Linked DNA regions of Neodiprion lecontei. The protein of the gene in region 1 purifies or fractionates together with the protein of each later gene. This does not show direct contact. Links are inferred from orthologs where the notes say so. Each region holds a gene or a part of one and is shown on either strand. Other genes may lie near its edges.

The links.
Region 2: the proteins of elongation factor 1-alpha (region 1) and elongation factor 1-gamma purify together in Homo sapiens (affinity purification with mass spectrometry; 4 studies listed by BioGRID and IntAct, counting the BioPlex papers as one, with this or other methods). This does not show direct contact. The link is inferred for Neodiprion lecontei from reciprocal best matches to the Homo sapiens genes EEF1A2 and EEF1G.

The regions. Positions count from the first base shown.
Region 1 is NC_060263.1:36,482,509-36,491,018, forward strand, and holds the start of elongation factor 1-alpha, read right to left. Parts: upstream 4,855-8,510; 5' UTR 4,730-4,854; intron 1-4,729. UniProt on the Homo sapiens protein: Translation elongation factor that catalyzes the GTP-dependent binding of aminoacyl-tRNA (aa-tRNA) to the A-site of ribosomes during the elongation phase of protein synthesis.
Region 2 is NC_060265.1:25,263,257-25,271,766, reverse strand, and holds elongation factor 1-gamma, read left to right. Parts: upstream 1-3,219; 5' UTR 3,220-3,265; coding exon 3,266-3,277; intron 3,278-3,403; coding exon 3,404-3,553; intron 3,554-3,726; coding exon 3,727-3,790; intron 3,791-4,171; coding exon 4,172-4,314; intron 4,315-4,833; coding exon 4,834-5,136; intron 5,137-5,380; coding exon 5,381-5,668; intron 5,669-5,816; coding exon 5,817-5,969; intron 5,970-6,171; coding exon 6,172-6,327; 3' UTR 6,328-6,384; downstream 6,385-8,510. Other genes in the region: nuclear RNA export factor 1, read right to left, coding at 1-195, 499-586; actin-related protein 10, read left to right, coding at 1,208-1,284, 1,368-1,520, 1,627-1,911, 1,991-2,273, 2,384-2,719; probable 39S ribosomal protein L49, mitochondrial, read right to left, coding at 6,943-7,217, 7,442-7,631, 8,283-8,384. UniProt on the Homo sapiens protein: Probably plays a role in anchoring the complex to other cellular components.

The sequences.
Region 1 (8,510 bases):
ATTTTAATTTCTCGAGAATTGTTCGCGTCAATTAATTTTTGCAAAGAGAAAATTTATATCTTTGTTTATCTATTAGGGCGGATCAAATCCGGGAAAAATTCGGCCGGATATCACATCCGGTGTCTCTAATACGCGGGATTCGTTCGCTTGGCGTCGGGCCAGCGATAAATCTTGAGAAAGCACGACGGCTCGACCGGGATTTCGGATTCTGTCCTAGAATCGGACAGGCAATCAAAATTGTGAAACCGAGAAATATCGGCGGGGGTCAGAGCCTCGAGGCCTTGGTCGGGCAGGCGCCAGCCTTCGACCTCGACATGCCCGTCTATTTCATTTCGGGGCTTCGGGTCTATTAACCCGGGAACATCTCGAGCACGTGCCGCGGCGTCGATTATAAAGGATGAGAGAGGTGCGATCGATTGAAAATTAAAAGTCCTTCGGTAAAAGAAACTTTGTACGAGGTGTAACGCCGGGGTCGCTGGAGACCTCAGGTCGAATTCGAAGAACTTGAAGAAAACTCTGGGACACTCTTTGAGCGTTGTATTTCAAGGCAAATTAGTCGGTTTTAGCAAAATGCAATTTTGAATGTGGAAAAAAAGACGATTCATAAATTGTGAAATATAAATCATTCCACTCCGAAAATTATAACTCGCTAAATTTTCATTACTTTGAGCTGAAAATTGACTGAGCAAGTCTCTGGACACAGATACCTGTGTGAGAAAAAAAAAATATGGTGATATCGGGCGATGAAAAAAAGGTATTTATTTGACAGACGAATTTTGTTAGTTACTATGACAAATGAAATTTTTCTCAGTGTGAGGTCGAATTTTTGGAAAAATAGTGAATTAATGATTTTTACGACTATAATTCGGACGTTTTTGACATTTTGTCATTTTGCATTTTAACGCATATTTGTGCGCATGAAAGAAACTGCACCCGGTCACAAATGAGAAGATTTGTAGCTTTTCTCTCAGCTGCAGGTACGACGCTGAAGAGAAGATTGATCTTGTTGTATAACACGAGTTTGCGCTACCTCGACAAATGTGTTTCTATGTCGAACCTGTGGCCCCAAAAATATCGCGTTCTTCACCTTCGAGATCACAGCCATTCCAACCTCGTGTTCTTCTTCGTCCGTTCAGTTAGCTTCGCATAACGTCTTTCATCCGCTCTTTCTCTTTTTTCATTGAATTCTTGCGATTTCCTGTTTATAAATCGGTCGACACTGAATGTACGGAGATAAAAAAATAAGGTTGCGTGAATTCTTTCATCTCGTAATATCTAATGCCAACTGATTAAAATCTACGTACAACGAAACCGTCAAAAGTCTCATTCTTAATGGAATCTTAATCCAATACTTGCGAGATTGGTAATTGTCGAATATAAATTCTGCGCTGTATCTTACGAAAAATTTGGTGCTCTTACAGACGCAGCGTCGGCTAGTAAGAAATAGAAACTGCGTCAACCGATAAGGAAGCTACGAAGAAGCGAAGTGCGCAGCAATGGATATTTCGAGTCGTTGAAACGGCGTGAAAAAATGAACCGTGTGCACAGGGCTTAATTTGGCTGACGATGAATCAGGTGGTTGGTTGGCCAAAAATTAATACTTTTTGCTCATTTTGTAACGAGATTGTCGTGAAACCAGTATTTGACGAACTATTGTATTCGCAGGCTCCGAAGATCTCTTCGACGATAAGAATGTTGAAAAAACTGATTGTGAAATTGTGAACAAAAGCTTAGATATCGATAATTCATTTAAGATCGCTTCAAAACAGTTAAAAATCTAGTATCCAGATTCGTTCGTGCTTAGTAGACGATAACTTATTGAATAAATTGAGTCGTCAAGTGAAATCGAACAAATCTAATAGATTTCAAACAATTTTGTAACGATCAAAAATGAACCATCGATAAAACGAAGCTCTCGTTTACGATTCCGTTAATTTCTATTCTCGTATTCCGAAAGTTAATTTCATCACAGCTTTCGAACACAATTATTCGATAAAAACTTATCGTGCAAATACTCTCGTGTGATAAAATTGATGAACAAACAATACCGATTTTTGGCGTGAGTAATTTCTAGAAACCGACGTCGACGCGTATTTGTTATAAATAATCCGCAACCCTCGTAAATTACGGACACTGTTCGCCTAAAAATGGTCCATACTCACCCTGTGATGTTCCTTTCTACGCACTAGTTACTCCGTGCGCGTGACGTTCGCAAAACGTTTGAAACTGCACGGCTTCTCGCGTGTGCGGGAAATCTTTACATGAGTGGATAAAAAAACTTGGGATGTGTGCGTGGCACGTGGTTTTCCCGCCGCTTTGAAGATCGAGATACCTTCTAAAATCGTGGCAATAGTCACACACGCCAGAATGTCATCTCCGTGGTTTATGATGAGTCAGTATAGAATTCCGCCTTGCGAAATTCACCCCACTGACTAGATCTGCGGTCTCGCCTAATTACTTCAAAATTCTACTCAGCCAGCCCAGCAACCGAGCTTGCCAACTCCGCCGCACCTGTTTCATTGTCCCGTCGACTCATCCACGCGAACACACACCGAGAAAAATTTCGTTTTTGTATTAACTAGAAAAATTCAGTAAAACGGGTATCGTTGAAAAAACACTGTTTGAATATTGTTGGAATTACGAAAAACGAGGTATTTTCGATCCTTTTTTGGTAATTGCAACGCAAAATCAGTTTGTGAGGTTTACTCTACTTTTTTAGTTAAACAAGGCTTTGACGTCAATTTATCGTTGCATAAGCGTTAAACTTTCGTAACGGTTACGAAAAAATATAGCAACAGTGATCGTAATGAGAAAGAATTGTGTTTAATATACGGTTCTCAACTATTTTCGTTCATTACAATAATCGAATAACATGAGTTCTGGGCACAAAAGTAAAGTGAGTTTTGTATCCGTAGAAAAAAAAAAAATCCAGTTATTTTGTAACGTATCTTGTCGTGAAAAAATGTAGTAAATTAAACGACCAGATTTAACATTCCAATAACCAGAAAATATATTATCGGCAATTACAATTACACCAAACACGTTACTTGTACTACATTTTCTAGTAAAATTGAAAAAAATATCCAAACCGTTGTTGCAACTATACCAACCAACTTTTCTACAATTTCCCGTTAACTGTACGAATGAAATTTTCCTCATCGTATATAAACGCAGATTTGATTTCAGCGTTATTGCATGGACGTGACGTGCGACATCCATATCTGCCAAGTTGTTACGCGTCAACGATCTAACGAGAAAACAAGAGATTAGGGAGGGAAAAATAAAAACAGGTAGAAAGAAGACGGAAAAATTGAAGGAAAAGAGAAAAAAAAATAAAAAATTCTCCAAAATTAGATCGTCCGCGGTCGTTAGGGTGCCGGAAGATTATTTTTACTCCCTTTTCTTTTTTGTTTTGTTTTTTTTTTTTGTTTTCATATTACAACGACGTCGTTGACAGCCGACGGCGACGTCTGATTCGCGTGGGTCGCGAGGATCCGGTCGACGCTCGCGGATTTTGACGTTGCGTATCGACCATCAATGAATTTTTCATCTCGGCGGACGTCGAGTAGCCGCGGACCGATCGCCCTGGAATTATTTATACAAAACACGTTGAAATTTAGAGCCACGATAATATACAGATATAATTATATGTGTATAAGCATACGTGAATACATAATATATGTATACCTATATGTATGTATATGTATATATATATATATATATATATATATATTGTTGTGTTAGGTAATGTTTCTACAGAATTCTGCTTCTCTAATTTTTTTTTGCCAACGCTCATTGTCAGCGTCTGTCGCTTATGTGCGTGTGTAGCGTCTTACGTCATCGTCGGAACACCGGCAATCGGTGACGACGCAAAAATTCTAATATTGCACATGTGTATAACATATATATATTCACACATATGACGTATACATATCCTAGGGTGGTCCGTGTTTTCGACTTTTTCGAAATTCTACCGGGAAGTCCTCTAAATTGTTTCTAAATAATTATATAGAAATATCCTCAAAAGCAGAGATATATCTATATGAAAATCTGAACACTCTCGCAAGGTTTGTGAAGTTTGCAATTGGAAATATACACCAAGTTCGATATAAAAACCGCCCCAACATATCAATAATAATAATATACTAGAGAAAAAAAGAATTCCCTCTCATTTTCATTTTTCAATGAATAAATTCTGATTCTATACATCTAATAATAACCGACATCTTCATCTATCATAATTCTTTTTCTCTTTTACGCTGATAAACAAGTCTCGAAGTTTTTGATCAATAGTATAAGCAGCAGGTAGCGGCACGTCGAAATAAAAAGCAAACCTTATCTACGAATAATGCTATTTCTTTTTTCATTAGTTACGTGGAAGAAATCAACATTTGACATCTGGCACCTAGACTCGAAATTCGTGATGACCGTTAAATTATTGAAGCACAGTCGATTTTCTAATTGTGTTATTATGCGACGCTAAACGGCTTAGCGGATCGTGATCCAGACCTTTTTTTACCCCCCCCCCCCCCCCCTTTGATCGCTTTTTTTACCCCCCGATGGTCGCCCGAGACTACATGGAAAATTCTTATATAGGTCCTCGAATTTATCACTATAATATATATAAGTTAAGCATTCGGAATGCCAGAGGTATTGCAGCCAAACTTTTTGCCAAATAATATATCTGCAATATTATACATAATAATAATAATAATAATACATTTTTTACCTCAAAACTATGACCATTGCGTTACGCAATCGGTACACTGTTAGAAAAATTTAACTACACACAATGTCCCAGCAGGTTCATTTTATATTTCAGTTATTTCTTAAATTTCTGTTGGTAAATATGACACAAATTGTTGTCATTTTCAACATTTAATTCACACGTTGTACTTTATTTTTCGAACAGTAACACATTATGAAACGGTTAAACGAACCGAAAAATTTTAGTGGACCAGCTGGAGAATTTTTTTTCCAACCGTGTAATTGCGTTCAAATTTTTTAAATTACGATCCAAGTACTTTACAGAAATCCGAATCACGGCGATGAAATTAACCTGGCACTAAATTGCGCCGCGTTATCACCGGAGAAAACTATTCTCTGAAATATGTGCCAGTTCTGGCATATCAATAAACTTTTCCCGGAGTGGGGATCGTCCGGGTTTTTCCACCCCTTTCAGCCTGCGATTAAGAATATCTATATTCGTGAAGAATTCGGTGATTACGAAACCTAGTCGAAGAATGAATCGCGATGTTTGAGGGATACGTTGTAAATTTGTAACGCACGTATCGCGGACTCGCGAAGAAGCTTGAACGTGGAAAAATACGATCAGTATCGTTCAGAACTGATATTCAGCTTGCGTCGCACCGGTTAGCTGTACGAGACACGCGGACGAATCGTGTTAAACACTTTGTTTTCTCGGATTCGATGTTGTTGCACACACGTGCGTTTGCGCCTCTCTACTTGAAACAAACCGATTTTTCAATATTTTTCCAAGCTTTGGTACAACGGTTGTGTCAGTGTTTGTTCGCGCGGAGCTTTAATCCGGCCTCTCGAGACGCAAAACAGGATTCAGGGTCGTCGTGTTGTTTTTGGACGGAACCTTCGCCCCGCGCGCCTCAATTATAGCCCGTCAACCTCTCATCGATAATTCCTTCTCGACGTATCCTCCCGCTTTTGATGCTTCGAGATCACAACGAGCGAGAGGACCAGATTTCCCCGTCTTTGTAAAACTGGCCTCCGCGCTCTTTTATCGCTTCCAAAACACGTGCGGGGCAATTTTTTTCACACATTATTCATCGCTTTTAACTGCCTCGACGGTAATATTGGAATACGTAACGAGCCGATTTGATTTCGCTGCAAGTTGGCGTGATTGGTTACAATATTGTAAAAATAAAGAAAACGAGCCATTATTATAGAGTGAAATCGAATTATTTTACCAGATTTTTAACCATTTCCAATTTGGGCTTTTGTTTCACAGAATTCTAGTATATTATATTTTTATATTTTCAAAGAGATCGTGTTTGTTGTTTACGAGTATAAAATGATTCGCCGAATACTCGATCTACAACTATCTTCTAATAAAATTGATAACAGGTACACTTAGAGAAATTTTTAGTCCTTAACTATTTTCATTTTTTACCACAATCGAAAAACATAGTTCTAGGTAGAAAATGAAAATCAGTTTTATAGCTGTTACCGGAAAGTCTAGTATCCGTTGCTATTCTTTCTCATTACGATCTCTGTTGGTATATTTTCTTCCAACTGTTGCGAAAATTTAATGCTTGTGCAATAGGGTGGTCCTCGTTTAACATGTTGACGAATTTATTCCGGATCACCCCACCAAGTCAACTATAAATAATTCTAAAACAATTCACAATTTTTTTCAGATTTTTATATCAACCGTAACCCGTGCCTGTAAGAGGAAGGATTTCCCAATTTAAAATACACGTGTTTCGGACACGTTCTTAGTATATATTTTACTGTAAGAGTAATAATGTTCGAAAAAATCCATGAATGTGAGATTCTAATAAGCATTAGTGCTACTATCTTAGAAAAAATTCACATCATCACACCAGGTAATATAGACAATTGCATTTCTTATAAATAAAAGGAAAAAGTCAAATTTCTAGGGTCTGCAATTCGTCGAGACTGGTTGGTACGATGATGTGAATTTTTTCTCAGATAGTAGCACTAATACTCACTAAATCTTCGCAATTACAGACTGATTCGAACATCGTCACTCTTACAATAAATTATATGCTGAGAATGTATCTGAAACAGGTGTATTTTAAATGGTGATATCCATCCATTTACAGGCACGGGTTAGAATTGATATAAAAATGTGAAAGAATTAGGAAATTGGTTTTGACTTATTTATAGTTGATTTGGGGGGTGGTCTGAAAAAAAATCATCAACACCCTAAGTAAGGATCACCCTATTTAACTAAAAAAGTAGAGTAAACATCGGAAACTGATTTTGCGTTGCAATTACCGAAAAAGGATCGACGATATCGCAAAATGCTCAGGCGTACCTCGTTTTTCGCAATTCCAACAATATTCAGACAGTTTTTTTTTAACGATACCTGTTTTACTCAATTTTTCTCGTTACTGTAACAAATGAAATTTTTCTCAATGTACCCATCTTCTTTCAGTAAACAATTATTTGCAGTCGGTATGATTTTTTTCCATCGTGAAGAATAGAAGATAATTTAAGATCATCAGACTCGAGCTCGTACTGGATAACGCAATTAATCTCAAACAAGACGAGGAATTTGTGCTATTCGTGCAGAAGATAATTTTCTCCTCCGCGATCGGACTCGGAACTTCATTCAGAACCCTGCAGGGTGTCCCCACATCACGTGAGGTGATTTAGATTCTTGGCATCCGCGTCGCGATTTATCTGCAGAAAATATCTAATACGCAGCTAAGCGTGAATCTGCATGAGAGTTTGAAAATTGGATCGAGTTTATGTTTAGCCGAATACCGAAAGGGGCCGGCAATAAGCGCGGAGCTTGATTGCGACAGGCAGTTTCTGCGAATGTGTTGAGTGCATCGTAAAGATGAGTCTCCCGCTTTCGTACGTCACGTAGCGATTCATTGAGGCTTTGGCTTGTTGTACCGGATTTAATTTTGTACTTCCGCCGGCCGTCCGACTCTAGGAATTTGTTTATTCGAGGGAACTCGCAGAGGATCGGCCTGTATAGGAGATTCTTGATCTCGCGCTGCACGGAGGAGCGGGAATAAGATCTTTTACACGTTAATTTCGAGTGATTCTTCGCCCTCACGGCCGGCCAATTCGACACGAAATACGGCCTTGGATACGGCCGGAATGTTTTCGGATTCCAGAATCTACATCCCGAGGCATGCAGCGAGAGGCCTGAAAAAGATTTGACGCTTAAAATTAGCCTCGAATACTCAAACGCAAGCCTTGAATAACTCGGCGCCGATGCGTTGCTCCGACTCATCCCTCTTTTTTAACTGCAGGGCAGGTCTAACTTTCTCTTAGTTTGGATTTTGAGAAAACATTTCTCTTTCTATATCCACGGATTTTTACCACCGAGTAATCTCTACTCTACACTTCTTCGCTGCTTATAATAAATGTCAAGAGAAAAAATATACCGCTGGTTAAAGTTTAGGCTTCGATCGTATAAACCTGAAATTATTTCAAGAACCGGAAGCTGAATTAACCCCGACGAGATGTCGTTGAGATAGAGAATCGTACGAGAATCGACTGAAATTGAAATTTCTTACCAAGTCTCGAAAGCAATCGGAATATAATTCAGAGCTTTCCGATTGCCACGTTTTAATCGCTCCTCAAACGATTAATCGTTAATTTCACTATTTTTCACACTCATTATGGCGAAACTTGTCACATTTTGTCCGATGAAAATAAATGAAAATAAATGTAGAAACAAATTGGATAGATTTTGGTTCTTTCGTTCGACGATTGATGGTCGAAAAATTTACATCTACCAGCCGGATAAGTCGACTTGCGGCTTTTTGAAC
Region 2 (8,510 bases), on another chromosome or scaffold:
ACCGGCCGCGGTTTTGCCTGACTTCGTTAGACATCTCGGCATCATCGTCCAAGTGTCGTCTCAGTCCAGCTTCTAAGTCTCTTTGTCTGTCCCTATTGTGCCTTTCGCCTCGACCTCCTTTGCCAATCCTTGACGTTTTAAACGATACCCTTGGTGCGGAGTCACGATCAGAGTATAACGTTCTGTCATCGTGACCTAAGGAGGACAAAACGGTTAATGAAAACTGACTTATGTATCCCTAACTTGTTCAAAGAAATCCTGAAGTGTCGGTGTGTTACAGAGGTTGCATACAATCACAAGTGAACCATTAGTCTATGATAAGAGCAGTGAGGTACTGACGTGTGCTAAAAAAATCGTGCTTTTTTACCCCTAGAGTATACTAAATTATATTTAAATATACTCAAAACTTACGCACTCGTTTCAAGCAAAATTAACCTCTTCTTAGTTAGTATGATTCCATGTTGTAAAAAGAACAATTTGTAAAAAAGGAATACTTACCGTAGTATTGTCTTCTTTCGGAGTTATCTCGTCTTTGCTGTGGTTGATGGTTATTCCAGCCACGACCTTTGCTATTTTTTCTGGGCATTTTGGTTCAAAACAATTACCCTGTGCACTCGGAAATGCTCGGAAAACACTGTATCTGACAAAATTTTCCACTTTTCGTGTTGGGCATAAAGCAATGTATATATAAGGTCAACTTCTCCAGTATAGACTGTTGTTTCAGCAAATATGCGGCCACGAAATATAGTTTAGCAGGCTGCCACTGGAGTGCGCGACGAGCGTCGTGGTGATACTGTTGAATCAGGTCATCAAATTTAATAGCGAATACAGAGAGGTTTCTCTTGGCGAATACACGTGTCGTATCGTTCACCGATTCTACAACCGTGTTTTGTCGTACTTGTGGTCAATTTCGAGGGTTGCCGTATACTTAAATACATTATAAGTAACGTCGTGGTAACTGCTTGGTAATCTTTACCTCAAAAGTTAACGGCAGCTTCGCGCTGCTGGCTGCCGCGGCATTTCGTTGCCCGTGAAAATCTAGCCTAAAACTGCGCAGTCTATCTGTATTTAGTCTATGCTCTCATGTAGTGCTTACAATGACAGTTCTGCTTAACCTATGATTTTTAACCTCTAATGGAATCTAGATCTGGAAAAATTTGCTTCAGGTCATAATCAGATTAATTTTGACCTAAGAAAAAAGGATAAAATGTCGTTGTACGAGGGTATCAGGTTAATTTCGGACAAGCAAACCGTTGTTTTTGACATTGGAAGCGCATATACTAAGTGAGTGTACAAAAGATAAGTAATCATTAATTAGTGAATTCTTACCAAGCTTGAGACGATACTTAGATTCATTACATCACCAGATATGGATATGCTGGAGAGTCGGTACCTCGCGGCATAATAAAAACTGAAGTGAAATGTCCAGAATCTGGGAAAATAAGGAAGGTATTCTCTTACGAGGATTCACAGGACTTGTATCAGCTTCTAGTCGAATTCATTCACTTACTCTTCTTCAGGTAATTTTAAAATCATTATACACAATTTACAAATTATATGATTGGACGAATTCAAAAAAAAAATCTCGATGGGACCAGTACTGATGCAATTTGTTTCAATTTATAGGCACGTTGTTGTCAGTCCCAAAGATATAAAAGTAATTATTGTTGAGTCTATATTGACTCCAACAGAATTTCGAGATACTTTGGCTAAAGTATTTTTCCGACACTTTGAAATTGGTTCCTTGATGCTTGCACCTTCCCACTTGGTTGCTGTTAGTACTTTGGGAGTTTCTACAGCATTGGTATTAGACGTTGGATATAAAGAAGCAACGTTGATTCCGATTTACGAAGGTGTGCCAGTTCTCAAGGCATGGCAGGCCTTGCCACTGGCAGGACACGCGGTCCATGAGTAAATTGAATATTTCAGATTTTTCTAATCTGCTTAAACGATGAGCATCGTATTCAATATTAGTATCTGTTGCTTACAGGTGCATAAAGAAAGAATTGAAAACCGTCCTGCCTAACGACGGCAGTGACGTTGAGAAAACAATTGAAGATATCAAAGTTAGAACCTGCTTTGTTACCACAATAGAGCGGTCTCTCAAATTGCAAACTGATGAACCACCAATTGCACCTCCATCAGTTAAATATCCTGGAGTCAAAACTATAACTGTACCCGGATCAGTACGTGAAAAAGCTTTCGAATTATTGTGGGAGCGAGACAATGACAATTTGAGTGTACCAACCATGATACTAGATGCTATAGTGAAGGTAACCATTATGTACTAATAATGTGAATATTAGATTGATTAATTTTATTAGATTTCTTTCCAAAAATGTGACCGCTTACCAATTATTCTGTATTTTATTGTTCATTGCAGTGCCCTGTAGACATGAGACATCCGCTTGCTGAAAATATTCTGCTGATTGGAGGAACGACAATGGCAAAAGGATTTTTGCCACGTTTGAAATCTGAACTTTTGACATTACTGAAGAGTAACTTATATTCTGAGAAATTAAAAATAAGTACAGTCAAGTTTCATAAGGCACCAAGCAAAGCTAATTACACAGCATGGCTTGGTGGTGCTATATTTGGTATTGCAGATTTGCCACTACGTTGTTTGACGAAAGAAAATTACCTCATGTCAAACAGAGTCCCAGATTGGGCAAGCTTAATTGATAATCAGAAATCAGACTCATTGATAAATAGTATGTAAACTATTATGTCTACCTAATTCGTAAAAAAATTAACCTGATACCTAATGTTCTTATAAAGTTCCAATTTTCAACAGTGAGGTAGTAACCCAATTAAAAATCGTTACTCAAAATTAATGTTTTTTTTTTTTTTCTTGCATAGAATTTACTTTATTCTATAATGTCACAAAACGGTTTAAAATGATATGTTGGAACGAGATGGTCTTATTTTTAGCAGTCACGAGGAACTTCAGATGCCTGTAATGTAAAATATATTTAATAATTTATAATTCGTATAATAAAGAAATTGTAAGAATAAAAAAAATCGATCACATTCATACTTTGTATCAAACTAATTTCATCTAATTTTGGTTCGACCTAGTTATATATGTTTTATTGCGGAGAAATGTGTACGTGCACCCACTGAGATTTGTGATATTTCCCGTCGCCGGGTGACAATTCGAGAAATAGTGAAAAAAAAGAACAGCTGTGAAGGAGAAAGGCGCGCAGGCGCTTCGTCATGAGCCGGCTTTCGATCTCTAGACTTCCTCTTCCTGTAGCTCGGCACAATGGCGTCCGGAGTAAGTGTTTTTACGCGAAATATTCTTCGTAAAACATCACCGTCTTGTTCGACGAATCGGTCACGTGAATGCGTGCAATATGACAATTAAACATCATACATTTATATGGCGTGTAAATTTTTTTAGACCCTGTACACGTACCCAGAGAACTTCAGGGCCTACAAGGCGCTGATCGCAGCCCAATATTCCGGTGCTAAGGTTAAAATTGCCGAAGATTTCATTTTCGGCGAAACCAATAAGAGCGATGCCTTCCTGAAAAAATTTCCTCTTGGAAAGGTGAGATTAATTTCTATTTTGGTTACATTTTTTTTATACGTCTATCACTGAAATATCATCAGTCATCGATGGATTCTGTCTTAAGTCTTATCGCCGTGGTATGCTGACACCGCTTTATGTCACGCATATTTTACTGCCGACGTGTTTTTAATAACGCCGAATGTTTGTTGAAGGTTCCAGCTTTCGAGACTGCTGATGGCAAATATATCACCGAAAGCAATGCAATTGCTTACTATGGTATGCATAATCAACATTTTTACCCTCAGCTAAAAATATTTTTTCTCTTTATTGTTTTCATTCGTTGTTGTTTTTTTTTTTATCTTTTTCCTTTTTAATTAATTTTTACAATTCAAGAATAACATATTATACGTTGTATGCATTCTACCTCTTAATTAATTTCAATACGTGATATTTATTTAAATATTTGTCTTCTGCTTCAATTTCACATCAGTATTGTGAGCTTGATGCTGAATTATACATATACTTTGGGTGACAGATAGGTATGAAATTTTCACGTTTTATGACATACAATTTCCGAAACAACTGGTTTTAATTTCTATCATTTATTGTTTTTGCCGATCTCTTTGCCAAAAGTTTGTGCTATTTTTGTGTTTCTAGTTGCCAATGAGCAGCTGAGAGGCAAAACTGACATTGAGAGAGCAGAAATTGTGCAATGGTTTGGATTTGCCGATTCGGAGATCCTTCCTGCCAGCTGTGCTTGGGTTTTCCCATTATTAGGCCTCATGCAATACAACAAACAGGTATGAAATTCTTGTCCACCGTAAAACAAAATTTTCTTATTTTACAAAGAATTCAATGTTCATGATATTTTATTACAGTTTAGATTTGGCTAAAGTTGTTCTGCAAAACTGCATAAACATGAGAAATCCCATCATGGCATTAGTTTGACATTTATCACATCGCCTTTGTTCAAAGACGAGCCTGAATGTTTTAAATTCAAGTTTCGTAACACGAGAAGGCAGATGAATCTATGCTGAATATTCAAACGCATCTGTCATTCTTTTATACATTTGCGTACCAATATTGCTGACATTGAAACAAATAATTAGCTACCTTACTATTGCGATGAATGTTTTCATATGTTCTTCAGCTTGCATAATACGTTTAACGTTTTACTTCTCTTATCCCCAAAAAAAAAAAAAAAAAAAAAAAATTAAATAATATCAAAACTATCCAGTGTTTTAAACATTGTACAGGTACTGGGTGTATCAGAGAACATATTAGCAAGGATTTTGCAATTTTCGTAATTAATCTTTCAGACTATAGAACATGCCAAGGACGATGTTAAGAAAGCTTTGACAGCTTTGAATTCACATCTATTAACAAGGACGTACTTGGTTGGGGAACGACTTACTTTGGCAGATATTAGTGTTGCTACAACTCTACTGCATTTATATCAGTATATTTTGGAACCGAGTTTACGCAAGCCGTATCAAAATGTGAACAGATGGTTCCAAACTGTTATATATCAGCCAGAGTCCATCAATGTAATCGGTGCTTTTAAACTGGCTGACAAAACTCTTGAATATGATCCCAAGAAGTTTGCTGACGTTCAAGAAAAAGTGAGCAAAAAATATAGATATACAGTATTGTTCATGTGAAATACCATTTATTTATAAAATACTACCTTATTCCAAAATATGTTGCATGGTACTATGAACTTGTGGCTTTAGTCAGCAGCTAGTAGTAATTTCGAAGTATTTTATCATCAATAATTAGCAGTCAAAGTATTAAATAACCGTTCATCTTCAGTTTGTCATATACCGATCTACTACTGAACAGCTTTCAAATATTATGAATTTTTAGTCATCTGCAAAGAAAGAAAAGAAGGAAAAACGAAAGGAACAGAAAAAGGAACCTAAAGAACCTCGCGAGGCAGATGTAGATTTAGCTGATGAAATAGCAGCTGCTGAACCCAAATCTAAGGATCCATTTGACACAATGCCTAAAGGTACTTTTGATATGGATAGTTTCAAGCGTTGTTACTCCAATGAAGAAGAGACTGTCTCCATTCCTTTCTTCTGGAAAGAATTTGATCCTGAACATTACAGCATCTGGTTTGGAGAATACAAATACCCTGAAGAGTTGACAAAGGTAAACTCGTTATACTGAATTCTCTGCCGGGATTTGAATTTCATTCAGTTTTTCATGTAGCAAGAATATTTTTGGAGATATTATGAATTACCTACGGTTAAAATATAATCATATTTAAGATTGTATTCGTTAATCTTACATTGTCCAGGTGTTCATGTCTTGCAATCTCATTGGTGGCATGTATCAACGACTTGACAAAATGCGGAAAGCTGCTTTTGCCAGTGTTTGTCTTTTTGGAGAAGACAACAACAGCACAATCAGTGGAATTTGGGTATGGCGTGGACAGGATTTGGCATTTACGGTGAGTGTATATATGAATTTCTTACAAATTGAACTTTCTGTACCATGTCGAAAACATTTGGTTGTGGATATTGTGAGCCATGGTCACTTATTTAGCATCCTTTGGGGGATATATTGGATTTTATATTAATCGCCAAGTGGCTTATATAATGTTGAATGTTTCTACAGTAAATTAATTTTCCATACAATTTGTTTTACTGTAGCTAAGCCCCGATTGGCAGATAGATTACGAATCGTATAAATGGGAAAAATTGGACCCAAACAAGGATGAAACTAAAGCACTGGTGAAGCAGTACTTCAGTTGGACTGGTACTGACAAACAGGGGCGCAAGTTTAACCAGGGAAAAATCTTCAAATAAAGCTCCGAAAAATACTAATTTACACGAAACAAATAATAAAGAATGAATAAAAATAAATTGCAGCTACAAGATTTTCGATGTAAAACCTCCACGATTCCTCTACAGTACTATATGTCTATTAACATCCCAGCTTGAAAATTATTTACGTGCATATTCCAGTTTACTGCTATGTGATTACTTTGAAATATGGGCAATTGTTGAATCCCTCAAGCAATATAATTTTATACGTCATAAAATTTTACTGTTGACAAATAACAATTGACAACCTCGTTTTATTTGTAATTTAAAGAATTCGTATGCTCTATTTCATTTGTTATTAATAGAAATAAATACTAACTGTAATATTTGCACAATAATATGAATTTTGATTATTGCCCTTTACTTTAGTACTTTTATGGCTGCAAAACTCATCTGACATTTCCCCGTCATGTTTGACTTTGTTTTTGAAGATACTAAAAAAACATTGGTCTACAAAAATAACGTGAAACACTACTAAAGCCATAAGTAGTTAAATCCAAAATAGGCATCATGTAATTATCAATAACAATAATAGTGTTTATTCAGCTGATTAAATATACAACAGGTTGTGTACATCTATTACCTAACTATTTAATTTTAAAGGCCTTTTGTAGTCAGCCATTCTTTAATGCGGATGACTTGGTCCCCTTTAAATTTTAATATGCCTGCAACTTCGTGAATTTGGGTACCAATTGATTTTCCAGTGGTTTCTTCCAAGTGTTTTTTCAGCTCAGCTTCGAGGAGCCATATATCTCCTTCAATTTTACGAAGGATTGTTATTCTGCGCATACCTCGAAACGATCGTTGAAGGTAAACTGGTTGTAAGTAGTTCCTGGTTCTGCTAACGAAATATGGTAGCTTCAGAGCATCCTCTGTGGAAAAATGAAGTTAACAAGACTGTATGATTTTTATTGTACAATATTGGCGAATTGCTTTAACAGTAGCATTTGAACAAATGTAGAAAATGAATTAGTATTTATGTATTTCAAGTTTATAAATTAATTCTTTCGAATTTGTTTCCCAGTAAACATGTCGTGAGTAGTAATTATATCATAAAATTGCAGAATTTAATTATGGAAATGTGATTTCTTCTGACCAGATTGAGGCGCCCAGCCTGATGGATACTGCTTGGCTGTAGATGTCGGAGCAGGCGGTACAGTTTTTGGCGTCAGGAGTCGTTCCACATATAGCCATTCTTGCGGATCTTTTGAAATTTCAAAATCTGTGTACTGAGACGGATCCCCTACCTGTGGAGAGCTTTTGAAAGAGCTATACCTTTCTTGAATCTGTAAAATGATTTAAGTAAAATTTTTCCGTACGTCATGAACAAAAGTACATCAAATTTCAATCGATGCTCATTAAAGAAAAATGAATCACTTAATTTTGTTTCTAGATATTTTAGATCGCAAAGGATCAATTAGTCTTTTTCCTTTCTTTAGTTACTTTTTGCTTATTAATATTATGACGTTTATACAAATCTATTTAAAAAGAGCAACGATGAAGGCAGGAGTACTGTTTGGAAACCAAATTAACTGAATACAAGGCGTACAGAATGGCAAAGAAAAAAAGACAGCGGTATTCAAAGTCTCAAAGTATCCTCAGACACAAGGACAAACCGTGTTGTGCTTTTTTAGAAATGAAAAAATATCGACATTTAGAAAGATCAGAAGCTGATTCATTGCCAATCAAAGATTATTTTGAGGTTATACTATATTGCTAAAAGCGTAAAGCACGGTTACTTATGATGGAAATATATATTAATATGATAATAATGAAAAAGTGATGAAAATTTCGTAAAATGACACAAGTAGTAGAAGATAAAGGTTCGTCGTCAGGCCCTTCCCACGAGCTACGTGGAAACGGAATTTTAGAATATTCAGAGGAACGATACCACGTCCCGAGAGTCAAAATCAAAGCACGAAAAGTTAGTCAAGTACCTTGCAATTGTTGTAAACTGTATTTTTCGTTAGATTGCTAGCCAAGGTCTTTGAAAAAATATGTGAAAAGCAGGGTCTTGCGAAAATTCTAAGGGCAGCCATTTTAACTTCGGTAAATAAGGGTCGGTGGCCGCCATTAATGTGTATGGGCGCGTCTCCTGTTCGTTCCTGAAATTCTACCGTAAATCGAAGCGTCGGGAGTGTTTTTTGTAAAATTGGCGGATCCGT